Oryzias latipes: one gene and its partners. The protein of the gene in region 6 interacts with the protein of the main gene of each other region in a pairwise test. Links are inferred from orthologs where the notes say so. Each region holds a gene or a part of one and is shown on either strand. Other genes may lie near its edges. The genes, in order: lnx1, fam69b, hoxb9, casp7, dmrt3, sat1 and kcna4.

What was found.
Region 1: the proteins of sat1 (region 6) and lnx1 interact in binary tests that used the Homo sapiens proteins (3 or more experiments, as listed by UniProt). The link is inferred for Oryzias latipes from reciprocal best matches to the Homo sapiens genes SAT1 and LNX1.
Region 2: the proteins of sat1 (region 6) and fam69b interact in binary tests that used the Homo sapiens proteins (3 or more experiments, as listed by UniProt). The two-hybrid records come from large-scale screens. The link is inferred for Oryzias latipes from reciprocal best matches to the Homo sapiens genes SAT1 and DIPK1B.
Region 3: the proteins of sat1 (region 6) and hoxb9 interact in binary tests that used the Homo sapiens proteins (3 or more experiments, as listed by UniProt). The two-hybrid records come from large-scale screens. The link is inferred for Oryzias latipes from reciprocal best matches to the Homo sapiens genes SAT1 and HOXB9.
Region 4: the proteins of sat1 (region 6) and casp7 interact in binary tests that used the Homo sapiens proteins (3 or more experiments, as listed by UniProt). The two-hybrid records come from large-scale screens. The link is inferred for Oryzias latipes from reciprocal best matches to the Homo sapiens genes SAT1 and CASP7.
Region 5: the proteins of sat1 (region 6) and dmrt3 interact in binary tests that used the Homo sapiens proteins (3 or more experiments, as listed by UniProt). The two-hybrid records come from large-scale screens. The link is inferred for Oryzias latipes from reciprocal best matches to the Homo sapiens genes SAT1 and DMRT3.
Region 7: the proteins of sat1 (region 6) and kcna4 interact in binary tests that used the Homo sapiens proteins (3 or more experiments, as listed by UniProt). The link is inferred for Oryzias latipes from reciprocal best matches to the Homo sapiens genes SAT1 and KCNA4.

The regions. Positions count from the first base shown.
Region 1 is NC_019862.2:757,018-759,597, forward strand, and holds the end of lnx1 (E3 ubiquitin-protein ligase LNX), read left to right. Parts: intron 1-755; coding exon 756-914; intron 915-995; coding exon 996-1,131; 3' UTR 1,132-1,993; downstream 1,994-2,580. Other genes in the region: fip1l1 (pre-mRNA 3'-end-processing factor FIP1), read right to left, coding at 2,249-2,330, 2,410-2,535.
Region 2 is NC_019870.2:6,335,099-6,339,334, forward strand, and holds the start of fam69b (protein FAM69B), read left to right. Parts: upstream 1-1,426; 5' UTR 1,427-1,710; coding exon 1,711-1,776; intron 1,777-2,916; coding exon 2,917-3,051; intron 3,052-4,236.
Region 3 is NC_019866.2:24,161,812-24,165,945, forward strand, and holds the start of hoxb9 (homeobox protein Hox-B9), read left to right. Parts: upstream 1-1,247; 5' UTR 1,248-1,416; coding exon 1,417-2,029; intron 2,030-4,134. UniProt on the Homo sapiens protein: Sequence-specific transcription factor which is part of a developmental regulatory system that provides cells with specific positional identities on the anterior-posterior axis.
Region 4 is NC_019877.2:5,359,581-5,363,842, forward strand, and holds the start of casp7 (caspase-7), read left to right. Parts: upstream 1-1,394; 5' UTR 1,395-1,539; intron 1,540-1,862; coding exon 1,863-1,984; intron 1,985-3,619; exon of another isoform or gene 3,620-3,855; coding exon of another isoform or gene 3,856-3,890; intron 3,891-4,262. Other genes in the region: nrap (nebulin-related-anchoring protein), read right to left, coding at 91-156. UniProt on the Homo sapiens protein: Thiol protease involved in different programmed cell death processes, such as apoptosis, pyroptosis or granzyme-mediated programmed cell death, by proteolytically cleaving target proteins.
Region 5 is NC_019867.2:1,173,611-1,177,993, reverse strand, and holds the start of dmrt3 (doublesex- and mab-3-related transcription factor 3), read left to right. Parts: upstream 1-1,542; 5' UTR 1,543-1,910; coding exon 1,911-2,301; intron 2,302-3,605; coding exon 3,606-4,383. UniProt on the Homo sapiens protein: Probable transcription factor that plays a role in configuring the spinal circuits controlling stride in vertebrates.
Region 6 is NC_019878.2:2,835,567-2,839,962, forward strand, and holds the start of sat1 (diamine acetyltransferase 1), read left to right. Parts: upstream 1-1,585; 5' UTR 1,586-1,792; coding exon 1,793-1,855; intron 1,856-2,620; coding exon 2,621-2,672; intron 2,673-2,740; coding exon 2,741-2,821; intron 2,822-3,017; coding exon 3,018-3,119; intron 3,120-3,186; coding exon 3,187-3,227; intron 3,228-3,520; coding exon 3,521-3,697; 3' UTR 3,698-4,396. UniProt on the Homo sapiens protein: Enzyme which catalyzes the acetylation of polyamines. Substrate specificity: norspermidine = spermidine >> spermine > N(1)-acetylspermine. This highly regulated enzyme allows a fine attenuation of the intracellular concentration of polyamines.
Region 7 is NC_019861.2:9,905,615-9,909,334, reverse strand, and holds the end of kcna4 (potassium voltage-gated channel subfamily A member 4), read right to left. Parts: coding exon 2,249-3,720; 3' UTR 599-2,248; downstream 1-598. UniProt on the Homo sapiens protein: Voltage-gated potassium channel that mediates transmembrane potassium transport in excitable membranes. Forms tetrameric potassium-selective channels through which potassium ions pass in accordance with their electrochemical gradient.

The DNA of each region.
Region 1 (2,580 bases), on a different chromosome or scaffold from region 6:
TAATCTTTGAAAATCAAAACAATGTGATTTCCTGGATTTTTTTTTACATTCTTTCTCTGCCAAATGAAGTGTTTCTAGGATGAACATTACAGACAAGAATCAGCTTTTTATGCTTCAAAATTTGTGACTGACAAATACTTTTTTGCCTCCCTGTTTGGGTAGTTTAAAAAAAAGTTTGATATTTGATAAAACTCCCAAAGGAGCAAAGTCCTTAAACAAAACTGAGAACCAAAATGCCTCACATTATCAGTCAAAGAGGAGCCAAAAGATTATTGCAGCCGAAGGGAGCTTGAAAGAGTCAGAGGCTAAATGTCCTTGGCTAAAGCTTCAATGAAAGTGAGGCTTTGCTCAGCGGCAAGCCCACAACAGAATGTAAGACATTTCATTGGTTCAGGTAAAGTCCAAAGTTTAACTTAAGCAGATGCAAAAGAGATGTCCTTTTGTTCCTTTAAGAATATTCCCATGCCAGAACCCCAAGGGAAGGTGTTTTAAAAACTGTGGAGGGGGGGATTTGCTAAAAGTATAATAAATACATACATTTGCCATCCATTGTTCAGATTTGTTTTTCATTTTTGCTCAGTCTGGGGGTAATGAATTACTTGTGAAATTAAATGTTTGGTACGTCAACATTTTATTGACCTTATTTTCAGGACCTGACAAAGAAAAATCTAGATACCAAAAAAACTTAAAAAACAAAAAGAAACAAGTGTTAAGTGTCAAACATTTATTTATGCTCTCCCCCTTCTCCCATGCAGACATCTGTACTACTGCAAAGACATCGTTCTGCGGAGGAACACGTCGGGTAGCCTGGGCTTCAGCATTGTGGGGGGTCAGGAAGAAATGAACTGCAATCAATCCTTTTTTATCCGTTCCATTGTTGAAGGAACACCTGCTTACAACGACGGGCGAATAAGGTATTGAGGTGACCCCCATCCAAAAATGTTTTTGGCATGAGTGAAACGTTTAGGGTTTCACTCTGCCTTGTTTTTCTGCAGATGCGGGGACATCCTACTGGAGGTGAATGGGAAGAGCACCTGGGGCCTGACCCACACAGCCTTGGTTCGCCTCCTGAAGGAGCTTCGGGGCAGGATCACTCTGACCATTGTCTCCTGGCCGGGCAGCCTGCTGTAACGGCACCCCAGCCTCCCTGCACTGCTTCTGTGATAATGACCAAGGGATGTGGAGGCAGAGCTTGCATCGGCAGACTGTCCTTAGACTTCTTGGAGAGAGAAAAAGGACAGAGGAAGGCAGACACTGATTTCTCTTCAGGGATTTGACCAGAATCTGGGAGGGTGATCAAAACAAAACTGAACTGTGAGCAAAAGTTTAAGTTGCCCCTCCAGGAATGCTGAAATGGGAGGATCCAAGCCTGCCACTTTTCTGAATGGGATGTTGCGAGATGTTATTTACTTACAGAACATTGTCATTGTCTGGAATAACATCCAGTGAGTGGGCTGGGAGGAGAAGAGGAGACAACTTGTTGCCAACTCCAATAGATATATTAGGATATGTGTTAAGTTGGACTCACATTTCTTTATGTACTGTAAAAATGCTGGTTGTTGAAAACAGTAACAGTCCAATCACTTGTAATATGTTTTTTTTGGTTTATTGTATGGCCTTCAAACGTAGGCTTTATTCTGTTTGTACTGACAGTGGTTCTCATCTGTTAAACTAAAGACTCGTTGCCAAGTACTAGTCTGTGAGGTTTTTCTGTTTTCTCAGAAGCTATTCTTAATAAAGAAAACAATTGGCAAAGCAGGTCTATGACAACATAAAAGGATCAATGTGTTCTTAACATGTTGAAGTGACATTTAATTAGGTGACATTGTGGAGGCCTTACAAAGTTTCTTACTTTTAAGAAAGAAAAAGCTATAACTGTTCCTGTGCATCACTGGATGGTCTATCTCCTGTGGTTCTGTTTGTCACGCTTCGGCCTGTGTAGTTTATCTGATGGTACATGACCATAAAAGACTAATAAAGCTGTTCCAAAACCTGTTGTGTGGTTTAAACTTTTCACTTGTATCTTCACAAGTACAACACAAGTACAAAAGACATGAAGCAAAGCAACAAAATCTTTCTGCAAAACTCATGAGGTTTTCCTCTAAAATCAACTTTAGTCTTCAAAAATGTTCAAAAGATCAAATAATTGTTTGCATTGTAAAATGACATCAAAGTCATTCTTTCCTGTTAAATCAGGAACATTTCATTGTTCTTCCTGGTCAGCACAGTCTGTTGTGGAGCTGTTTTTTTACGTCTTGTTTTTTCTTCTTTTTGCATCTTTTACCATGGTCCTATCTTCAAATTTCCTGCTGCAGCTTCCCTGAGTGCTGCTGATGAGATAAATAGAAAAAAAGACCAATTGATTAATAGTTCTACTGTGTGTCTTTTAGAGTGTGTGTTTAGATGGACCTGTGTGAAACTCTGTCAGGCTTCCAGCTTCTGTCTTTCCTTCTGTTTTCTCCCATGATGTCTTTGAAGCTGCAGCATCTGTGGCTCTCATCCTTGGAGCTCCTGGCCTTTGTTTGCTCCTTCACTCTGTAGAGGACATTTTTCTTGTGGACTAATGTATGTACGTATATG
Region 2 (4,236 bases), on a different chromosome or scaffold from region 6:
CCAATCAACCTATGAAGCATGTTTTTGGACGGTGGGAGGAAGCCGAAGATCCCGGAGAAAACCCACGCATACATGGGGAGAACATGCAAACTCCACACAGAAAGGTCCCCCATTGATGTAGTTTTTCATGTCCCCCAGCCGGGACTTGAACCGGGGGCCTTCTTAAATTAAAAGCATAAATAATTAAATTAAAAAAACACTTTTTTTTTTTTTTTTAAAGAAATACACTTCCACATGTTTTGACATTTGTCAGTTTTGAATAAGATTACATATACATATTTAAATTTCAGATACTTTTAAAGTCAAAAAGAGTTTTGTCCACATGTTCAAGTTTGTTTGGTATTTAATCCTTAAAGCCACATGCTTTATATTTGTTTTTGATTCAACCAAAGCCATCATTTCTTCCTTTTACAAAAAACAAAATATATACACAACAGGAAGTTTGGTTCACAAAAGTAAAACAAAAGATGGCAGGATTATAAAATGTAAACGTAAACATTTGAAGTACAAGGGACTAAAATATACTGTGGTTGCTTTTCAGATCCGAGCATAGAGGATTTTTGCTGACTTACTGGTTTGATTGGACCTTTCAACCATTAAAATATTCCATGGACCACCAATGGGCTACACATGATGCACCCACTACCGTGCTTTACGGTTGTAGAGATGATGCCTTCCAGAAGTCTAACAACATTTTCTATAATATGTATTTATATATTTTTGTGTGTTTAAAGTTTGCTTTCTGCTTAGTTTTAATTGCCAACTGTGGCCCATTTTTAGGCATTATGTTAGTTTGTAGGGTTTTTTCCTTTTGTCAAATTCATTTTGTGTCTTTTTTTGTTATGGTCATACAAATGTTTAACACTTGAAAGCAAGAAAAATAAAAAGAAAAAATCATTTATGTTTTACTTACTTTTTTTTTTTAGAATAGAGTGACTGAAAATGTAAATAATTATGCAATTTATCTAAGTTGCATGCAATCGCTGGCTAAGCTCAGCTATAACATTTGACCTTCCTGTGATGCTTTTATTTTTTGCAAAGAATATAAAATGGATTTATTAGTCTCCTTGCTGCAAGGGGTTACTTTAAAAATGATTGTACGCATCAGTGTCTTAAAAAACAAGAAAAAGTCCCCATTGACAGTTTATTTATTATACAATTTTATTTTTGCAGTTATTCAAAAAAAATTGAGAAATTAAATTGTTCTCTATAACTGAGAGAAGAATGCATTAAATTACGTTCATTCCTATTTAGGAATAAAGAACAAAAACTTAAAACTGTGAAATTCTTAAAGAACAATAATGAAGAAATGGGCGGGGCTACATCTACCCGTTAATATACACAAAAATTAAAATAATCTTTTAGTTTACGGGGAAACTGCTGAGATTTTGTGCCCCCCCCCCCCCCCCAAAAAAAACTAAGCTCCTCCCCTTTATGGGCGGTCCAGCGGGGAGGCTGAGTGAGCATCCGTGCATCCGTTTTCATGGCTCACAAGGACGACGCCGCTTTTCACATTCTCGGGCTAAATCTGTCAGTATCGCAGGTGCACGCGGGTGGTACATGCGCAGTCTGATTCCACATGGAGCTGGCGTTCAAGGACGCCCCGGTGAAGGATTTCGAGTGTCCGCGGCGACGGCGTGGGCCGCCGTGATGATGTGACGTGACGGGGATCTTCTCTTGTCGCTCCGCTGCGCCTCTCTGTCGCTCACCATGCCCAGGGCTGTGCGCAGACTGCTGCATCTGATGCTCTTCTGTCCGCTCCACAAAGGCTTGCAGGTACACCCTCCATTTCTCTCAATAATTGGCTCGGTGATGGTGGAAATGACGAGCCCGCGTGACGACTTGAACACATCTGAGTTTGATGGTGTCTGAGCACATGCGTCACTGCATGACATTTCTCCCCAAAATGAAACCCAAACCGCATATTTTGCCTTTCTACCCTCACACATAGTCATTAAAATTCCGTTTCTCTGAGAAATGTTAATATTCGAAATCTTTCCTATAATGCTTGGAAGGTGTCACATAGAAAAAGAAGAAAAAATATACTGGAATGTTTGTTTCAACATAATAAAAGCCAGTTTTTTTTAAATTTATTTAAAGTAATTCAATTAAAGCTGGGAGTTACAGGAAAAGCATGATAGATAAATAACCAGCCTCTCTTTTTAGTTAGATGTGGAAATTCTTGTCAAAAACATTGCATATTCATATTTTGATCGATCTTTAAAGTGTTCCCAGTGTTCTTTTAATCATGATTATGTGTAATTAAATGCCTACAATCCAACCAATTTGTAGGACATAGTTTCTGCTGGATGGAGTTAATTAATTGTGGGCGGGACTTGATGCAGAGCAGGCCCGCCCCTACTCCCCATCATCTCTTTGTTTTCTTTGCTTCACATGATTTATATTTAGAAGTTTGCAATGAACATTTTATTGTTAATATGTTACATACAAACCCAAATTAAATGTTGGCAAAAGTTTTTTTTTTGTCCAAACAGACTTTTTCTGTCATTTCCGGTCATCTAATATGAAAATCACTGTCATTTGGGTGAAATGTATTTATATCTATATAAATAAATTGCAGTAAAATTTAGATGAATCAGTTCATTTGCATTTAATGTTATTATAAGGGTTAAAAAAATGTTTGCCCTCACACACCAAATCTGACCCTCTTTGGAAAAGGTTTGGACGGCCCTGAGCTAAACTGTCAATCAAGTCTTGGTTGTAATTTTGCTTTTGGACAAGAGATTTAACCCCAATTTGCTCTCAATTTGTAATTTTCTTTGGATTAAAGGCTCTGCTAAATGGTAAATGACACCCAAGGTAATAAACAAAATGCATGAACATGTTTCTGTGCATCATCTTGTCATGACTTTGGGTTGTTTTTTTTTTGCTTCTGCCATGTATTTTTTTCCACAGGGGCGTCTTCCAGCCATTAAGGTGAAGTACCTCCTCCTGGCCTGGCTGGGCGTTCTGATCTTCAGCTGGATCGTCTACATGCAGTATGCGTCCTACGCCGAGCTCTGCCGGGGCCACGTTTGCCACATGGTCATTGTGAGTCCAGCTCTAAGCTTTTGCAGTCTCACGGAGCTTGAATAGGAAAATCCGAAAAATCGGTGTTGATGTGAGTGCTGGTCGTTTGAAACAGGAAGTGCCGGTTTATTTTAAGTCCGGAGTGTCGCTTTGTTACTGCTCTGAATCTTTCATCCACAGAGGAAAGACCTGGAGAAGCTAAACTATAATTACTGCAATCATTACAATTAACACCTAGTTAAAATAAATTGATGAGTCCTCATTAATCACATCTGCTCATGTACCGAAAGATACTAACAGTCACACAAAAGAGCATGATTTTAGCAGGACTGTTATAACAATTTTTATAAAATGTTTCAAAACCTGTGTTTGTTTAGTGTGAAAGAACTAAACCCGGAAGGTTTCCACCTTAAACTTTTTATTTATTTTATTTTTTTACAGCTGGAGCAGCTCTAACCTAGCATAAGTGACCTGGTACTTAAATGTAGATGGAGCACCGATTGCCACAGAAACATAAAACAAATGTAAAGCTACGTTCACACTGGTCAAGAACGCGGGTTCTTAAACGTTGGTGTTCACACTGGGCAGTTCTTCGTCTCTGCTTCCTTTACCGTCTACAAGCGTCTGCCACCTACAGTTGGAAGATGCTCGGTGTAAAATGTTGAAGCTGTGCAAAGGGAAGTATTCACACCCACTTCTCATGGAAAGCGGTTGCTTGAACTTGCGTTGCAGAGGGAATGTAGCTTGAAAAGGGAATTCAGGAAGAGTGGAAGCTGTTGTTGCTGTGGGAGAGCAGGTCGTCAGATGATCGAAGGATCGGCGGTTCGATCCCCACTCCCCCCAGCCAACTGTCGTTGTGTCCTTGGGCAAGACCCTTCACCCACCCTGCCTCCAGTGCAGCTCCACTGGTGTGTGAATGTGTATGAATGCCCCGGTGATGGTCAGAGGGGCCGTAGGCGCGAACTGGCAGCCACGCCTCTGTCAGTCTGCCCCAGGGCAGCAGTGGCTACAACAGTAGTTACCATCACCAAGTATGAATGACTGAATAATGGACACACTGTAAGCGCTTTGAGCGTCTGGAAAAGCGCAGAGAAATCCAATCCATTATTATTATTAAGTCTAAGGGCACTTTCACACTGAGCTGTTTGGTCCACACCCGACCTGGTGTGTGTGAAAGCTCACCTGAACCGAACGCAAAGCAACATC
Region 3 (4,134 bases), on a different chromosome or scaffold from region 6:
TATTCTATTCTATTCTATTCTATTCTATTCTATTCTATTCTATTCTATTCTATTCTATTCTATTCTAGGGTATAATATATGATATAATATATAATATTTGTTTTTTTAATGCACTGAGGACATTGGATTGCTATTTGTGAGTTTGTTTTTGATTTGAAAGCGGGTTTTTTTTTCTTTTTTTCTGAAAGAAAGTGTCTCGTGCTTTGGCTCCATGGTCCTGGTCCTGAAAGAACCGTCAGTTTGGATCTTGGTTCGCTGCTGCCTCTTGACTGAATGCCATCTGAATGCCTTTCTTTCTCTTTTTCATCCCTGAATCCAGTTTTTTTTTTACCAGCAGATCTGAAAGCTTCGCTTCATCTTTCCCTGATCCTCGTAAATAACACCGTTAGCCCCCATGAGCAATCTAGTTCATATTTACACGTCGTAAATAACTGTAGCTGCATATGCAACGTGCAGACCGGATTTATGGCCTCCAAAGAGTCCAAAAGCGCATGTCTGTCATAATTACAAACAAACAGAGAGACTTACAGCCGCGGTGACGTCAGACTCCGGGCGCCTCCGGTACATGATGCTTTTCGGGTCCACATTAAGAGTGTAAACCTATAGTTTGATCGGGATCCAGCGCGGAGGAGCAGAGCGCTGATCCTGCGTTCCTCCAGCGGCCGGAAAGAGAGGCAGCCGCTGCTCCGTCCGCACCACCATGAGTCATATATAAGGCCTATAAAACTCAAGCAGCCGCCCCTGTGTGGGATTTTATTGTGGTATTAAATGGACCCCCAAAAAGTGGATGAAGTCGAAGAAAGGGGCTGAGGGCGCGCGGGAGCCGCGTTAAGTTAATGGCGCTCGTTAACAGAAGATGATTGTTAATCCGCCTGTTAAAGTAAGCGGCTGAGAAACTTCCCAAAAAAGAAAAGTAAAACATGAGCAAGCACTTCAGGAGTCACCGCGCGCACTCTGCAGATAGACTGTTGGAGCTGCAGATCAGAAGCAGCAGAACCGCTCTGCGGCCATGAGCGTTTCCCGCGTTTGTTGCAGGTGGACTGTAGTCTGAAGAACTTCTTAGGGCTTTATTCAGGTAAACAAGAACCTCCTCAACATTCAGGTTCACACACACGTGGGTGCAGGGGATGGGGGTGGGGTCAGACTCAAAGGCAACGTGAATGAGTTTGCGTGAAATGGACAAATCCGCGCGGCTGCAAACTGGAACATTTTGTTTGTGGTCACAGAGTCTTTGGGGAGGAGGGGGGTGACGAGGGGGGTGAGAGCGTTAGAGAGTGAGAGAGTGAGAGAGCGAGAGTCAGAGAGGGGGGAAGGCAGCAAAGCAGAAGAAAAGAAGAAAAGAGTGACGTAAATCTCATAATGTCCCTCTTCTTCTGCTTTAACAAACTCGCGGCTGCACGCGGATAATGTCCGAGAATGTCCATTTCTGGGACCCTCAGCAACTATTACGTGGACTCCATCATCAGTCACGACAGTGATGAACTCTCCGGTCCGGCCCGCTTCTCCGCCGTCCAGTACTCCTCTCCAAACTCTTCAGTGGCCGCGGGCGTCAGGCAGCCCGTGGCCGCTGCACATGCGGAGCATCCTCATTCTGACTCGTACCCGTCCTGCAGCTTCCAGCCCAAACCCCCGGTCTTCTCACCGTCGTGGAGCCCGTTCAGCCCGCACCACGGCGCCGGCGCTCTTCCCGCCGTCTACCACCCGTACCTCCCGGCGCAGCATGTTCCCGCGGCGGACACGCGCTATCTCCGCTCATGGCTGGACGCCGCTCCTCGCGACCCGGACTCTGTTTCGGGCCAGAGCCAAACCGGGCAGGTGAAGCTGGAGCCCCAGCTGGGACACCAAGGCGGGGACATCCCGCTCAAAGTGAGCGTGCAGCACCCGCACGAGACCACCACGTACATCCTGGACCCCGTGTCCACGGCGGCGCGCGAACTGAGCCTCCACCCGGCGGCCGTCCCGGGCCGGGGGTTCGAGGAGAGTAAGGAGGGATGTGAAGGCAGCGAGGACAAAGACGGCCCGGATCAAAGTAAGTTATCAAGGTGGGAAAAACGCGTGGGAGCGCGAGCGCGCGGATGGAGATTGTAAACGCGTTTAATGCAGCCATAAAACAGGAACAAAGGAGAGCTGAGCGCAGCAGCCGCGGCTCACGCGCTCACGAGCTCACGTTAAAGCGAGTTTGTGGTGATTTTTCTGTGTCTGAAAGCGAAGAAGTACATTACAGAAAAAGGCCATTTTATGCCTTCATATTATGGGATGTTGCTGTTGCACTGACTTAGGACGGAGTGGGATGTGCGTCTCCAGATGACTGATTTCTTTGGCGAGAGTCCAGCAGAGAGTTCGATATTTATATTTAACGGGACAATTATCAACCAAAAGCTGGTGAAACATGGAGACCCGAGCTGCGCGTGCGGGTTCCGATGGAAAGCTGACATAGTAAGGTGCATGCGTGAGTTCTGAACCGGTCTTCAGTTTGTCTTTATTCTCTGTGGGGTTCGAACGCAGAAGTGGCATTTTTGGAGGAGAGAACGGTGCAGCAGAGGCTGCTCTCCGAGGGAGCTCGGGTCCCCTGACTCATTAACCTCCCGCGTGAACCTGCAGGCCCCGCGCTGCCTCGACACGCAAACCTGAGTGCGGGACTCTAAGCGATCACAGAGTCTCTGTATCGACACCCGAACCATGTAACTGTTGTGCTGCACGCTGCTTCTTTATCTCGCTCATGCTTTCTTCTGCAGTTTATTTTGGCATTTGATTTTTTTGTCCCTGTGGGCGCGCGCGTTTTCCTCGCAGCATTAAACACGAGTCTCCTTCTGAGCTTCTAAAAACTGCAAGCAGTTGATAAACAAAAATCCGAGCTCAGCCTGATGCAGGCGTGCGCGTGAGTCCTGTCTGGGAAACATGGGAGACGCTCTGAATTAAAAAAATCTTTCTTGATAAATAATCAGCTTTCTGTTTTTCAACCCTGCTTGATTGATGATATAACTTTTTAGGAATTGAATAAAGAAAATTATTATTTTATCACTATATTTTTAAAACTAGTCCGGTGTTATTATCTCGAAGCACACTCGTATTCAAAACATTAGTGATTTATTTAAAAAATAGGTTGTGTATATAAATAATTTTAATTTTAAAAGTGATTCTAAAAAATGTGTTCACATCTTTCAGAATAATTTCCTAATTTGCGCATGCGTCACCGCTTCAGTTTCTCGCTGCTTTTTTTCTTTAACTCTGCTGCTTCTTCCCGCTTTTCCTTCTGCTCAATCTGGCAAAAACAAACTCTTTCCAAAGTGCAACTCGGGCTGTTTCTAATCTCCAGCAGACGGCCATTTTGTGCCAAACAGATGCCGAATGCAACAGACGCCCGTGCAGGTCTGATCAGAAATCCTGTAGCTCACGCAGCTGAGGGCTGTGGCGCTTTAAAGTTTTTTTTTTCTTTTCATTTCACTCTCCTAAAACCGCTTTAGGGCGAACATATTACAGACCTGCTGATTGAATGCAGCAGAAATCAATAGAACAGTTTGAAGTCATTTATTAAATCTTGTAAGAGTCCAGACAAACCAGTGCCCTTTTATGCTTTTTTATGTGATCTTAACTCAAAACAACACTCAAAATTAACATTAAAAACATAATGTCCACAGGAGAAAACAAAAACCCAGACAAACACACCATAAAGGCAATAAAATATTATAAATATCTATTTCCATCAGTCAAAGTCCGTCTGGCTGTGATGTGTTTGTGATTTCCTCCCTCATGACTGCAATAGCAGCTCATCCTTTAGCAGCAATGCTGAAGAAATAAATCTAGAAAGTTCATAACTAAAACTGTATGAATGAGCTGTGAGACAGAATGGAAGAAGATCTCAACACCTCTCTCTGCTCCATCTCGTGTTGAGATGCTTTGCTCCTGCTGGAGCTCAGGACACCTCGGGCCTTGAGCTGTAGGAACATTGTGTCCTTTGGTTCTCCACCGATGGCAGCAATTTGAGACGCAGTCGGAGAATGCAGCAAACATAATTCTGGAGTGTCAGTTTATCAACAGGCGGTCGGGTCCTGCCAGGGGGTCAGTGTGGGAAAAAGAATCACAAACGCTGTGTTCGGGGCTCGCTCTCTGAAGCCGTTTTCCTCTACGTTCCCT
Region 4 (4,262 bases), on a different chromosome or scaffold from region 6:
GCCAAAACAACAGAGGGTTTCTCATACTGGTAAAGCGAATAAGCAAGCCCTACCTCTGTTAAATTATATTTGAAAATGTTGTTTTGTTACCTGATCAATGCAGTTGATCTTCTCTGCTGGGTAGACCACAAACCCACACCTGGCACAGGACTGCATCGTGTGTTCTTCTTCAAAAATACAATTCAGCAAAGGTGAGAAATTACAACCAATGTATGTCCAGATTTAAAGTTTGGGTTTGGTAGAAGAAAGTGGCTCCCTTGATTTAGTGTTTCTCTGGCTGTGGTAAACTTAGCAATGAGGCTGGAAGTCTGACACTGCCTCTTACTTGACACCGTGTCCCATGACGGATCAGGCCCCCACCTCAATGCCCCCATGCTTTTCATGACTGGCTGGGTTTAGCTGTCCATCTCCAGTCACAGAGCTGGAGCGTTCACATGTCACTGTGTTTGTGTAATGAACCCCAGATGGCCAATTAGTTCACAGGCATTTACATTATGACACAAGTGCCTATTTTGCACGAGTTTAATCATTTAAGGAACCAATAGTCTTATACTGCTCTGCCAGTTTTCTATGAATAAATAAATGACACAAACTGATGATAAACAATAAACTTCGTTTTGTTTTTATCCTTTTTTATGTTTCAGCCTATTTTTCTTAATCCTTATTTAATTTTTTTAAGTGCTCTATAAATAAATAATACGATCCTCTGTTGGTAGACTTTTAGCTCTTCTTTATTCACAATTCTGCAAAATTATAATTACTTTTCACAAGGACGTGGTTTCATTAAAAAAACTATTTTAAAGGGATCAAACTACTTTTTCTTAATATAAAAAAGGAAACCTCTAAATTACAATTTATTCCAACTCTTTGACTTAGGTTAAATAATTCTAACACTGATTAGTCTGAGCTCTGATGATTATTTTTTATATACATATTTTTTTATTAAAATATCACTTATACATTTTAAAAATATGATTATGAAATCTAAATCAATAAAAAAAGTTAAATGTTAAATTAAAGGAAAATATAAATGTTTTGGCTTTGAATGAGATTGAATCAACTTTATTGATAAAGCACTTTTTATACAAAGTTGCATCTCAAAGAACCCATCAAAAAACAAAGCCATATGCACAAAAACTGTAAAAGCGTTAAAACTAAATTGACTTAAAGAAAACAAATAATGAAGGCAGTGATGCAATATTTTGATTTTATTTATTCACTTTATCGAGAAAAACACAGTTGCAAAGAAGCAAAATTGCACGAATCTGTAAAAACAGAACTGACCGTAGTTTCATATTTATAATTATTTTATTTACCAATAATTTAATGTAAATGTACCAATAGATTAAAAAAAATGAAGTTTTTTTTTTTTTTGACCGGAGTCACGTTGACCGGTGACGTAGTTACGCACGAGACATTCTTTAACAAGTTTCACTTTTGCCAGGCTCAAGAAACTGCTTTTGGCGAACCTTTGGAGGAGGAAAAACTCCTAAATTCAAGAGTAGAGCAACAAATAAGTTGACACACGAAAGACCAAACGTAAGTAAAGATAATTCTGTATTTTTTCTCATTCAGGTTGGATAAAAAGCGGTCAAATGTAGCAGTTATAATTTAGTTATTTAGCTAGCTAACGCTCAAACGCGCTAAAACAGCAAAAAGATCAATAAAAAAAAACTTTATTGAAAAATATGTAAACATCTATTATACTATAACCAGTTTTTGTTCATAGTTGTCTGTTTTTCAATTGTCTTTTAAGATGAACACGGAAGTAGTAGGTAGTCCAGAATATAAGAGCCTGTACTTGGATTCCCAACAGTTACTCCTCGATGTCAGTGATTTATGAAATACTTTGTTTACTGCAGATGGCAGAGGATCATGCTGAGTCACGTGACCTTACAGCTGGAGATGGAGATGATAGTCTGACAATGGGGGACACGACAGACGCCAAACCTGACCGCTCAGGGAGATTTCTTCTGTTTGGGAGGTAACTTCCGCCTATACATTTCATGTTTTCGTTTTAAAGAAAACTAAAACAGGCAAAATCTCTATACATTTATTTTGATCTATCTTTAGAGATATTTATTTAGTTAGGTACGTATTACTTAACAAGCCACCTGCAATATAAAGTGCATTCTTCCTCTAATCAAAATGACTTTTGTACTTTTCGTTGTAAGTTTCTTTTCTTTTCCTGGAGCTCACCTTGCTGGTTAGACATGCCTCCTTCATCCCCATAAAGATCAGAATCTCATAGTTAATAAAAGGAACACACTAATGTTTTATTTCGTACATTTAGTGTAAAGAAATCTAATTGGATCCTTTCGTTAAGTCTTTGTGGACGAATTAAGCATGCGTGAATAATAAAATAAATAAATAAAAATCCTAAGTTTTTTACGCTCTCTGAAGTATTGAAAAGAATTTGGGAATGATTTTAAAGTCAGTTAGCTCAAGAAAATAATAATATATATATATGTATGTATGTATGTATGTATGTATGTATGTATGTATGTATGTATGTATGTATGTATGTATGTATGTATGTATATGTATGTTACTGTATTGATTTAAATAATTAGACCTTATAATAATGGATTTTAGGCATTTTTATAATATATTTTAGGAAGCATTTTAAATATTTCTCTATATATCTATATTTATATTGATATATATGTAGGTACCGGACAGCTAAATTTCTCCTGATGGAGGTAAATAAAGTATTATCTAAGTCTTAATTAATTTTTTTATTTTATTTAATTATGTGTATACATTTTAGTAATTTCTCAGAGCTAAATTTGAATCTTACTTGTAGGTATAAATTTCTTGGCTGCCTGTTGGATACATTCTCCCTCACAAGGTGGCACTCTGGATCTTTTTATTGGAATATTTATCAACCTGGACACCTAAAATAAAAAAAAATAAAAACTATGGGACCTTCAAGAAGACTAAAATAAATGCGTGTATTATGAAACTATACACCAAAATGGTTGTGTTGAAAAGTGTAGATCTGTCCTTAAAACTTGTTTTTGAGGTTTCAAATAAAGACTGGAAGGTGATTTCATAGAAACAGTTTTAATTTTAAATAGTAAACTAAAATTATAGACTGAAAGAACAAAGATTTGAACTGCAGGTTTGTAATTAGAAAAGGTGAAAACAGTTTTACGGCAAAGAGCAGAAAACAGATCTTTAACTGAACAACTAAAATGAAAACAAGGAAACAAATGTAAAATCCTTATTCCCTGCATTTTTTGTTGTTTAAACCTGTAAATTAAGGTATACAATTCTGCCCTAAACAACATTGTGTCCACAGTGTTTGCAGTCATATTGGAATCTTTGGTCATCAACTTTTACCCTTTTAAATATCATTTTAAAGCTTTATTCTGTGTTTTTTTCGCCAGAAAAAACATTATCTTAATTTATACTGACCCAAAATGTGGACAAATATATAACTTAAGGTATCATGATTGAGCCGTTTTTGATGCTGTGGTATGGCATGACTTTAGAAGAGGATCTAAAAGTGAATTCAAGTCCAGATGATTGGCTTATCAGAGAATTCTTTGACTTTTTTTAGCTGCAGATTTTGTCCCAGCTGACCCCAGCAGTGAGTGAGGCAGTGTGAATAGGCCTTTAGAAAGCACTGGTGTGGTGGTGAGGCTGCTGACTCAGGGGCCTCGCAGCGCGTCGCCCCTGTCCTCAGCAGCCTCCCGCTCGCTCAGTCAGGTCTTCGTCAAGTGCGGAGAGGATGCCACCCTCCTAACCTTACAAGCTTCAGTTGAACTACCCGCTGAAGAGAATCCTGCGCTTTGTTTTGTTTTTCCGTGGCATAGAAAAAAAAAAAAATCCAAAGCGAAGGCATTTCCGATGCAGAGCGGAGTAGCGCTTGATAATCAACCCAGGTAAGATAGAAAGCGCCGCCTCCTGATCTTCTTGACTACTTTCCGTCACCGCATAACAACGCTGGTGCTCTTAGCTTGCTATTGTTTAGCACAGGTGGCTGGAGGGGAGGGGGCTTATGCATCACATGTTTATTGCAATATGGCTGGACCGTCCATGAGAGTGTTACAGTCAATTGTTGTGTATTGTACTGATGCTCGAGTGTCCTGATGACTGGGCTCTTCTGGAACAAGCCAGGATTTTTTAGAGCCTCTAACGGGCCACCATTGGCTCAGTGATCTGGATGAGTCTTGCAGAGAATGGAAAGATGGCAGGTCTGTGAGAAAGCCTACGGCTAGAGGCTTTCGTCTCACTCAGTCTACGTTAATGCGGTT
Region 5 (4,383 bases), on a different chromosome or scaffold from region 6:
TTTAAACAACACTCATGTTAACAGTTTATTGGTGGGAAAAGCTTAATGAAATGTAATTATATTAGAGAGAAAATAAAAACATGTTTATGAAATGAATGATGGTGATTTGCATAAATGTGTCTCTTGGGCCGTTTTGACACCAATTGTCTGCCAAAATCTAAAAAAAAAATGACGTAATATTCAAATTATGTTTGTGTCAAACAACAATTCTTGATCTTAAATAAACTTCAAGATAAATTTCCTAAATTTTCCAAAATAAAATGTTTTTGCTCAGCGTGCCGCCTCCCCAGGGAGGGCTAAATCAATTTCTGACAGGAGCTCAGCCCCCAATCAGCAGCTAATAGTGTGCTCTGGCGGAGGTCAGACCCCCCCCCCCCCCCCCCCCCCGATGGCAGGAAATGAGTCAGTAGCAAAGGGGGCGGGGCTTCTAAGCATGTGACCATTTTCATTTAAAACACATGAAGCGTTGATGCCTCACTGTGACTGACGGTGGCGCCGTGCAGGAAGTGAAAATGTCAAACAGTGAGAAAGTCGGACCTCATTGACGGCTCCAGCTACCCCCCCCCCCCCCCCCCCTCACCATCACACTCCCCCCTCCGTGCCTCACCATGACAGTATTAGAAATGTTCTGGGAAGCTCTCCTTCCATGACGTTCCTCTTGTGTCTCATTAGAACATCAGTCCAGATGTTCCTCTTGTTCCTCTTTGACCGTTGGGCCTTGACCTCTGACCTGAGCTGGCTCCACTGAGGCCTCTGCTGCTCGGTTTCCTCCCTGATCTTGGATCTCTGCGGTTCTCTGGAGCAGCAGGAACGTCTTTCTGAAGGAGGGATGAGGGACGATGGGCCCAGAGCGCGGAAGGACCGCGGTGCCGGGCGGCTTCGGCTCCTGAACCCGTTCAAGATTCAAGCTGAGCTTTAAATCCAAAAATGAGCAAATGAAATGAACATTTATTTCACACAGAAATCAACAATTTATAGAACACAAACTAAAATAAACGTCAAGAACACAAATATTTGAATTCTGTAATTTTGCAAAACATTTCAAAAGAATTTTTTAAATGACAGATTTATGAAAACCGTCTTTCTGTTTTCTGCAGCATCAAACACTAATTTGGCTTCGTGCGTTTTTCCAAATGCTGTAAATGATTTTTTTTTTAAAAAGGAGGCATTAATGTGGCTGCAATAAGAGCAAATGAACGGAGGAGACCATCACGTTTGGGTTTTCAGTGTCGTTTCTGCTTCATTCATAGAAAAAGAAGCTTTGAATCTCAGTTCTTTTCTTTTTCTGTGTGGAAATTTAAAAGAAGAAATGTCAAAATAAAAAATAGATATTTTGATATGAAAAAAATGAATATAAAATATCTAAAACCTTGAAGTTGCTTTGGCGATGCGCTCGCGCGCCAATGCGCGTGCGGCTGCGCTGATGGATAAGTTTATGGGCCGCTCAGACTTTCACTCCCACATCGGTGTCGGACGGGTTCAGACTGCAGAGCCGGTGCTCACCTTGAACACCCCCCCCCCCCCCCCAATTAAAAGCTTAATCGCCCCGCAGACGGACTCTCCGGGTAGCGCGCGCTCGCTTTTCCTCCGTGGGTCTATTATTTGCTTGGATAAACCGTTTTTACGGTCAGAAATAACCCACCTCGTCCCGGGTTATGTTTCATCGCCCACTATTACACCCCACCCCCAACCACCCCTTGAATATGAGCGTCACGTGACCACGGGGGACCTTTGCGCGCGTTTCGTCTCTAGTGTTTTCTGACGCGCGTGACAGCAGTTGGTTACTCGCGCCCACAGGAGCGTGTCTGCGTGATGCTTATCTGCGCCGTGAAACGCGGGACAGGCGGACACTCCCCCCGCGCAGATTAACACCTCCACCGCGCCGCGCGCCTCCAACTCTGCGCCCCGCCATGAACGGCTACGGCTCTCCGTACCTCTACATGGGGGCCCCGGTGTCGCAGCCGCGCGCCCCGCTGCAGCGGACCCCCAAGTGCGCGCGGTGCCGGAACCACGGCGTGCTCTCGTGGCTGAAGGGACACAAACGGTACTGCCGCTTCAAAGACTGCACGTGCGAGAAGTGCATCCTGATCATCGAGCGGCAGCGCGTGATGGCGGCGCAGGTGGCGCTGCGGCGCCAGCAGGCCAACGAGAGTCTGGAGAGCCTCATCCCGGAGGCCCTCAGGGCCCTGCCCGCCATCGGCCTGAGCGCGGCCGCGGAGGAGAGCCCCGGGGCGCCGCCGAGGACCGAGGAGCTCCGGTGGAGCGGCGCGGAGCCGCGCGCGGGAGCGCAGGCGTGCTCAGGTGAGGCTCTGCTTCTTTGAGAAAAACTCACCTGTTTGTTTGTCCGCGTCAATCATAAAATCATCTGAATAAAAAAATAAACTCTACAGTTAAAAATAACCCAAGTTCATAGGGACCGACTTTTTTCCCGGGTTATTTTAACTCAGGTTAAATGAGACCAAATGGGGCCCCAAAACGTTGCCTTGGCTCTAAAACGTCACTTAAAGTGGAACCCAACTGGATAATAGAACATTTTAGTGACGTGTTTCATGGAAAACTTCATTTATTGACCAAAACTATATAGATTTGAAGACAAATTAAAAGATAAACTTCTTTAATTTCAGGGTTTTTTCAGAAAAACTGCAGCGCGTGAATTTTCATATTTGAAGATTTTTAATTTTTTTAACTGGCACAAACAATAAGTAATTAACGCAATTTGTGCTTTAAGATCCATTTGAACAAAATAAACTGACTTTATTATTTAAGATAACTTTTATTAACACGATTAGACTTTAATACCCAAATGTTTTTGAGAAAGTATTTTCAATACTTTAAATTAAAAACCAGAGTTTGAGGCTCAGGGTGGCAGTGGTTAGCCTCTTGCCTCACAGCCAGAAGGCCCCTGGTTCAAGTCCCGGCTGGGGGACCTGAACGGTGGGGGGACCTTTCTGTGTGGAGTTTGCATGTTCTCCCCGTGCATGTGTGTTCTCAACATGCTTCATAGGTCCATTGGTTACTCTGCATTGCCCCGAGGTGTGTGTGTGTGTGTGTGTGTGTGTGTGTGTGTGTGTGTGTGTGTGTGTGTGTGTGTGTGTGTGACCGTGGCCCAGCGACAGACTGGCGACCTGTCCAGGGTGTCCCATGCCTTTACCCACGAAGGGCCGGGATAGGCTCCAGCAGCCCCGTGACCCCAGAAAGGGACAAAAATGAATGGAGTTTGAGGCTTAAAAAAGACTTTCATTCTTTTTTTTCCTCGTATATTCCTGTTTCTTAAATTCTAATGTTCAAACGAAAACCTGATATTTTGCTTTATTTGTTTTTTTTAACGTGCATCAGCAATATTTAAAATTAGTATATATATATTTAATCATCTGGATACAAAATTGAGAAAAAAACTTTATTTTCTTTTTCTTTTCTGCATAAAAGAAAAACTAAATTTCTCTGCAGGAACCTTTAAAAAATCTTTTTCTCTTTAAAATCTGTATTGAAGAAAATAAAATATTTCTGCAGATTTATTTGCCGTTTGAAGAAGATGATGTCTGCATGCGGTTCTGGATCAGTGGTTCTGAGTTCTGGTGTCTGATACCGGTTCTCCCCCCATGCAGACCCGGCAGAGGACGGCACGGAGGAGCTGTCAGGAGCGGAGACCGGGGGCAGCTCGTGCAGTGAGAAGGAGCAGGACCCCGCCAGCTCCCCCGAAGGCTCCAAACCGAACTCCTGCTACACACCGGAGCCGTCAGACCCCCCCTCGCTCCCGGAGGACGGCCGCTGCAGCCTCCCCAGGACCGGCGAGAAGGAGGCCAAAGCCGGCAGCCCGCAGAAGCGCCCCCCCAGCCCGGAACCGAGCGTACTGATCGAGGGCCTGGGGGGCTCCATCAGTCTGCCCTTCAGCCTCCGCGCGAACCGCCCCCCCCTGGAGGTCCTGAAGAAGATCTTTCCCGCCCACAAGCCGCCGGTTCTGGAGCTGATCCTGCGGGGCTGCGGGGGGGACCTGGTAGGGGCCATCGAGGTCCTGCTGTCCAGCCGGAGCTCTGACGGGGGCGCACACACGCACGCAGACACGCACGCAGACGCGCTGGTGCTGCCGTCGAACGGACACCTGTTCGAGCACGCGCTGGGCTCGTACCACCCTTCCCCCGCCAAATGGTCAGTGGGCTCCGCGTTCCGGGTCCCGGACTCCCTCCGCTTCACTTCCGAGTCCGGTTCCGGCGCGCTCCCGCTGCAGCACTCCTCGTTCCCGCAGCCCACGCGCTACCCGCTGATGCTGCGCAGCTCGCTCACGCGCGGCCAGAGCCCGTTCGTGCACAGCGACGTGGCCCTGTGGGGCCCCGTGGCCCTGCAGCAGCAGTACCAGCTGCGCCCCGCCGCGCACTACGGGGCCCC
Region 6 (4,396 bases):
GGACTCCCAACCCATGTGAAACTATCCAATTCTGTCAACGTGACTAATTATCACTGGTATATTTTGAAGTGAAAGGTCCCTGGTTCAAGTCCCGGCTGGGGGACCAGAACCAGAACATCAAAGTTGGGCCTTTCTGTGTGGAGTTTGCATGTTCTCCCCGTGCACGCGTGGGTTTTCTCCGGAGACTTTAGCTTCCTGCCGACGTCCAAAATCCTGCTTCATGGGTTCCTCTAAATAGTCCCTAGGCGTGTGTGTGAGTCTGCATGGGTGTGTGATTGTGGCAGCCTGTTGATTGTGGGGGGTTATCGGCATTGTTTGTCGTGTCATTTTGTTTTTAAATTTGATTATATTTTATGCAAAGCACTTTCAGTGACATGAGTTGGAAAAGTGCTATATAAATAAAGGTTGAATTGATTGGATACTGTCCAAAAACATGCTTCATAGGTTAATGTGTGTCTCTGGATTGCCCCTAGGTGTGTGAGTGAGTGAGTGCATGGCCCTGAAACAGACTGGAACTTGTTCAGGGTGTCTCCTGCCTTTAGCCCAACAGTAGCTGGGCTAACTCCAGCTGCACTGTGACCACAAAAGGGATTCAGCTGGTTCTGAAAATTGAGGCACGATTCTTATCCATTACAATGCATCAAAGTATATAACACAATACAGAAACGGCAGGTGGGATACATATGTTACGCAGAAACACAAGGCCAGATATTATCTCTCCAGCTTGACCTGAATCTGCGGCTGGAAATACCTGTATGTCCACCAGAGCAGGATTGTTTACTAGCAAAAATAAAACTTTATATGAATTTTTGTATATTTAAATGGAAAGATATGTAAGTTCCAAACAGTGTACTTTTATTTAACAAGAACTGGGTAAATTAATAAACAATTGAATAACTACATTTTAGAAACAAATCAACTTGAAAATAAGACATCTACTAAAACTCATATATTTTTAAAATGTATAACTTATTTTTAAATATCTACCCAAGTGCATTTGGTCTGTGGTGTGTGGTAATGGCTTGCTGAAGTTTTCTGATAGTACTTTTAGTGTGCTGTTGTTTTCACCACAGTGGTTCACTGCTGGAAGATCTCAGTAGTTTCAACATAAACTTAAAGAACTGAGTCAAACAGACACAATAACTGAGAGGAAATAAAATCAGTTGTATTCTTCCATACATTGTTTTGGCTTGTCGGGCAGCTCTTTACCTGCAGGCCTCTGTTGTTTTCTGACCTAAAAAGACAGTCAGCCCAGCCCCTCCATCACAGACTTGGGAGGTGGAAAATTCCACTGATGTTGATTACAGGAGTCACTGCTGGTTTTGTTCTGACTTTAAACTTTTTCTTGTTGCTGTTTGCTTGATATATGTCCTATTCTATTTATGGATTCTAGAGTAAGTGATTCTTCAAAGAAAATTACTTTAACAGTCTCTTTTCCAGAGCACACATATGTAATGTCGCTGCGTATCAGCCTTTCTGCGGCCGCTGATTGGATGAAAACTGACCGCAGGGTGCCGCTGATTCGCCACAGATGAGGGGGCTGCTGGAACTGGCCAATAGCGTTCGAGCGCGAGCCGGGTGTATAAATAGTGTTGAAACAAAGGGAAGGAGTTAAACGGCAGTGACCCAGCCGAGGGTGAGCGCAGCTGAATGATCTTGTCCCGACAGACGCGTCCGGACCAGAGGCTGACTGTGGGGATAAAGCCACTCTGACGCGAATGAAGAAACTTCTCATCTTCCAGTTCACATACAGAGGACTTTTGACTAAAGGAAAAAAAGGGAAAAGAAGAAAATGGAGTATAAATTACGAAAAGCAGAGCCCAAGGACGTGCCAGACATATTACGACTCGTGAAGGTACGTAGATATAACGTCAACTACTATTAGAAAACAAAACAAAAAAAACCGGTCTGAACTGGACGCGCTTGTTCCGGTTAACGAGCCCTTTCTGCTGACGTCACGTTTCCCGCTTTGGAAACGTGTCGTCGACGGATAAAAAATACGGGAACTTTTTAGGAGAAGTGTGTCTGACAGCTGATGGTGAGACGGGAGGAAGGTCGGCAGGATGTCCGGCCGGCAGCTCAGCCCGGCGGCCTTTGTTTTTCAGCCAGACGGCTGGTGACCGAGTTAACTTCCGCCTCTCCATATATGGCTCTTCCGCCCGGCAGCTTAGCTTCTTATGGAGGCTGACCTCGGAGAAGTGTTATTATATGGTTGTGTAACGGCCGACCTGACACAGATACACACGTTTGACACAGTAACGCAGCTGAGGGGATGTCAGAATTTACAAACACAAGAAAAAAAAAACAACTAAAAACCGGAACAAAGAAGGAAATAAACGGCGCTTTTTGACACAACTTCATAAAAGCGGAAGTTGAAAACTTATCTGCCTAACCCGTTTAAAACTCTGCTGCAGACATAAAATACAGTACAAAGCAGCTGTCTTTAATAATAATCTCCAGCAGAAAACAAACTTTTATTTAGTGTTATTTGTCATTAGACGACGTCTTTGTCATCTGTGGAACATCCTGAGTCATCACTTTTTTTGGCTTCTGTCATGAACTTTTCTCTGGAAAAGTCTGCTCTCAGAATGTTTTTATCAACGCTCTGCTCTCATTCCAGGAGCTTGCTAAATACGAGGAGATGGAGCACCAGGTGGCGCTGACGGAGAAAGGTGAGTGTCCGGCGGCGTCCGCCCGCACGCCGACAGACCGTGTTTGATCATCGCCTGCTTCTGTGCAGATCTCCTGGAGGATGGATTTGGTGAAACGCCGTTTTACCACTGCATCATCGCTGAAATCCAAGGAGAGAGCAGCAGTGAAGGTAGGCGTGTGCCGCTCTGCTCAGCTTCCTGTTTGTTGGCAGGAAGAAGAGCCGCCGCCGGCTGCAGTTTGGGTTTAGTCAGACGTGTCGGCTCACGTGTGCTCTGGCTGGAGGCTCAGAGCAGCTGCAGGTCTGTGAAGGTTTCCTCCCTGCAGAATGGCCGGTGACCGCTGTCCCCCCCCTTGTCCCCATACAGATCCTAAGGTGGGGGGGTTTGCCATGTACTACTTCACCTACGACCCCTGGGTGGGCAAGCAGCTCTACCTGGAGGAGTTCTACGTGATGAACGAGTACAGAGGTGAGAGCAGCTCCTCCTGTCCTCCGGTGGGTCCCGAGCATCCCTGAACTCCTGTTGTCTCTTCCAGGTCTGGGGATGGGCTCGGAGATCCTGCGGCACCTCAGTGACGTGAGTTCGATTCCTGCTGCAGCAGCAACTGTTGATCGTTAACAAAACCTACAGTGTTTTTTAATCGATACCTTTTAGAATAAAAATATCACTTCTTGTAACATTCAAAACAAAATATATAAACATTGTTTTTTCTTATGAAATCCTGTAATGAAAAGACTCAGAACGTCTGTCTGCTCCGTTCCTCCTGTTGACTGCATGATGCTTCTGTGTCTGACTCATGAGCTGAGGCCTCCTCCTCCTCCTCATGTGACCAGCTGCTCTAACGTCTCCTTCTCTTGCTCCTGGTCCAGCTGGCGATGAAGACGCGCTGCACCGGCATGATGTTCGTGGTGGCGGAAAACAACGCCCCGTCCATGCAGTTCTACAAACGCCGCGGCGCGGAGGACCTGTCGCAGGAGGAGGGCTGGAGGCTCTTCAGGTTTGACAAGGACAGCCTCCTGAAGATGGCCACTCCAGCTGAAGAATGACAGGAGGTCCAGCAGGGCGGCGCAGGAGCAGGAGGAGACCCAGGAGTTCCAGCTCCACTCCCCTCTGCGCAGATGAAGCATGCAGATGTTTCGCTGTAATGGTTCTGGTGCAACACCTCTCTCTGATTTCTGATCTGAACTTTCCCACCAATAAAGAAATTCCTGATCTCAGAAGCTCCAGCCTTTCTGCTGTTTGACAGATCCGCTCATGTTCATGCAGCTCTGGACGTCCTCAAACGTGGACCTGCTCATCCGGGTTGAAGATGAGAACCTGAGCTCAGAAGAAGAGCTTTGAGAGGCAAACGGGGTCAGACTTGACCTGAAGGCTGAGTTTTAACATGCAGGCCCGTTAGAGGATTGTGTTAAGAAAATGTATTTCCATACTCATTATTTTCCATGTATTTATTTAAAGTCTTGGAGTTTGTTAGCTTAAATCCTATTATCATACCAAATCATAGTTTGTAGGCATGCTGGCTGGATGGTTTTTATTATTTTTAGTCTGGTGTTAACATGGTCGTTAGTCTTTCAGTTGATGGAACTGTAGACACTATATTCTTTGTTTTTCTTCAATGACCCTGGCATGCACTCGCACTTGTCTGCAGCCGCTCAGCTTCATAACAGCACTCAGCTCCCTGGGAGGTGAAGGCCGCAGACATGCAGCCGTGAGGAAAGAAAGGCGGAACCTCCAAAACGCTTGAA
Region 7 (3,720 bases), on a different chromosome or scaffold from region 6:
TTCCAAAATGAGCATCTTGCCTACTTGCATATTTGAAACCAGGTGGTAAATTTCTATTTATTCTTTTGTTTTTGTTGAACTTTTGAGGTAAAGCTCAACACGTCTGGTATTATTTTTGCAGTAGCTTCCCAAAACTAACCTTCCTTCATTTCTTTGAGAGATGCAGTAAAGTTTTAGAGTACGATCGCATGAAATAACCCTCCTTTATCTCATTCAGAATCCATTATGTTGTAAATTTTTCCTTGTTTAAAGCTTCTCTTATTTTACTGTTCAAGGATGAAGAGCGCTAAGAGTTTTGACGTTTTAACTGAGTACAGGATATATATTTGACCACAAAGCCACAAACTTGTCATGCAGCCTTTGCTCATGTGAACTCTTCTTTGGCTGAAGCTCAAAGAGAAACGTTCCTGCTTCAGCAGATGGTTGTAAAAACATCCTACTTGTGCCAAATTCTGCAAACACACACACACATAGTCTCTCCCCTCTTTTCTCACACACAAAGTAAGTTATCTAGTAAAGTTAATAAGAAGCTAAAGCAAGAATTCTGTTGGAAGACAACCCTGATATGATTCTTTTTCCTCTTTTCTCTTTCCTTTTATTTTGGAGGTTTAAAATACTTTCATCAAGCAAAAACAAAATCTCATTAAATTACAGTGTTTGTGTTACTTTAGACAGAAATGCAGCTGGGATTCTGCAAAACCTCTTATCAACAGCCAAGAGTATAAAAACGGTGTCAGTGATTACTCTGAGTGATGTTTTTTTTTTTTTTTTTTTTTTTAAATGAAGATAAAAAATGGGGTTCAGATTGTGTATTAATGAGCTTCAGAATTATGAGGTGTTGCTTTTTTTTTTTACAAAAGTTTAAGTACAATTCCCCTGAAGTTGACCTGATGTCATCATGGATGAAATAATTGCCCCCGTTATTAATGAAAAACGCTGTGATATTGTTGCAAATGAGGTCTGAGGGTAGCTGTAAAGTTGCACAGGAGAAACATTAACTGATGTTGGCAGGAATGTGCGTCATAGTCGTCCAGCGTTCATATCGTGTTTTACACACGGTTACGCACGCGCATCCATGCATCTTTTTCTTCTTTTTCTTTTTTTTTTGGGGGGGGGGGGGGGGTCTAAGAGATTACCAAGGTAGTGGAGATACATCCAAGGGCGAGAAAATAACAAATGCATTGCATGGATTTTCTTCAAGTGGTTCCTGTTTTTAGAGGCTTTGTTTGTGTGTTTTGTGTCAATTAAAAAGGAGTAAAAGTCACATACCTTGGAAGACATCCTTATTCCGCTGGTTTTCTGAGCCATGTACGCTTGTGCATTGACTTGAGAAAAAAAATTGCGCGTAAACTCTCCTTGAAGAATTTTCCACAACAGTCGTTTTTGCTATAATCTTCCATCTTGTAAAGGGATACTGTCACTTTGAGGTGGTTTGAATGAAAGTGGAGGAAAATGTAAAAAAAAAAAAGGTGGGGAGGGGTTTGTCTCAAGGCTCCAAAAATGTCCAGATGACCTGCAACGAGTCATTTCTCCAGCCATAAATGATGATGAATGTGCTTAACTCTTGTCATGGTGATGATTTACTTTAGTTTAGGATAGGAAGGGGATTTTTTTTTTAAACTACGTATCTCAATGTAGCCCTGACTCATTTAAAATAAAGCCTCTTTAGAAAGATATATAACAATTATGGATATATATTCATATTTTAAGTGTTGGAACAGAGATAAAGGTAGTTCTTCTGTCTTATTTTCTTCTTCAATGGAGTACAGTTTGGTAGGGTTTAAACGCTGTTGTTTTCTATGTTACTTTGCTTTTTTAGAAGTTTCTCTAACATTTTTCCGTAAAGTTATTCCTAAAATGTTGCCAGCATGGCCTACAGTTTTCTGTCTCTACAGGAACTTGCCCCAAACCCAGCGCAGATACTAATTTAGTGCAAACAAATGATAACTTTATTGCATAACAGCAAAATGATCGTCCCTACCCCTCGGATGTGACAAAAAAACTCATAAAGTGCGAATGCATAGCCTGTCTCTTCTGTGGAACTGGACTTAGATGTTAGAGTTGGAAGCCCGCAGCTCAGATGATACAATATGGTTCTGAAGTTGGTGTTGAGGAAAAAAGAAAAAGAATGGAGCATTTTCCTGCCACTGTGAAAGGGGTGGATGAGTGCGTAAGAGGGGTTGAATGGAGCGTAAAAGTTGAGGGGTAGTCACCTGATGCTGGGCAAAAAATGTCTTTTCAGAAAAAATCACACGTCTGTCTGAATAGATTTAGAGTTAGTGCTGTTTTTTCTGCTTATGTCTGTGCCGTTTCCTTTACTGGGGCTCTTGTCCAACCCGCATAGCGATTCCGTCAGCCCTTCCTCCATCTCCATGTACTCCGCTTTATCCCCCAGCGAGGAGCCCGAGGGCGAGCCTTTGAATTTCCTTAGAAAGTCGGGGAAATACGGACATCCTGGAGGCATGCTCTCCACCACAGGTGTCTGGTCCTCGTTGTTGTCGGTCTCCCTGTGGTAGAAGTAATTGAAGTTGGACACTATGACAGGCACCGGGAGCGCGATGGTTAACACACCCGCAATCGCGCAGAGGGAGCCCACTATCTTCCCACCTACGGTGATGGGCTTCATGTCTCCGTAGCCCACCGTCGTCATGGTGACCACGGCCCACCAGAACGCGTCGGGGATGCTCGTGAACTGAGAGGTGGGCTCGTCCGCCTCGGCGAAGTACACCGCGCTGGAGAAAAGAATGACACCTATAACTAGGAAGAAGATGAGAAGGGCCAGCTCCCTCATACTGGCGCGCAGGGTGTGACCCAGGATCTGCAGCCCCTTGGAGTGCCTGGACAGTTTGAAGATGCGAAACACCCGGACGAGGCGAATTATTCTCAGAATAGCGAAACTCATCGCCTGCTGGCCGTTGCCCTGGTGCTGCGCCAGATCCGTGCCTAGGGTGATGAAGTAAGGCAAAATGGAGACAATATCTATGGAGTTCATGATGTTTTTAAAGAAAGCGGTCTTGCTGGGACTCGCAAAGAAGCGAACTATAAACTCAAAGGAGAACCAGATGATGCAAACGGTTTCCACGATGAAAAAGGGGTCGTTGAAGGGCGTAAATCCGTGGTCGGGCTCAGAGGAGTTGTCCCGCGGCTGCAGATACTCCTTCTCATCCCTGAACTCTGGCAGCGTCTCCAGGCAGAAAATGACTATGGAGATGACGATGACCAGCACGGACACCACGGCGATCCCCCGGGCAGGGCTGGAGCTCTCCGGGTACTCGAACAGCAGCCAGATCTGACGCTTGAACTCGTCCTCCGGCAGAGGCTTCTCCTCCTCCTTCACGAAGCCCTCATCCTCCCGAAACTTCAGGATCGCCTCCTCTCCGAGTTCGTAGAACTTCACCTCCTCGGAGAAGATGTCAAACGGGACGTTGGCGGGTCTTTTTAGTCTCCCCCCTGACTGGTAATAGTAAAGAATGGCGTCAAAACTCGGCCGGTTCCGGTCGAAGAAGTACTCGTTCCTGAGCGGGTCGAAGTATCGGATGCGCTTGTCGGGATCTCCCAACAGCGTGTCCGGGAACTGAGAGAGAGTCTTAAGCTGAGTTTCAAACTTCAGACCCGACACGTTGATGACGACCCTCTCGCAGCAGCCGCACTCACTGTAGGCGTTCTCGTACCCGGACTGGGGCCGCCTGTCCGTGATCGACACGGTCTCCTCATCCTCGT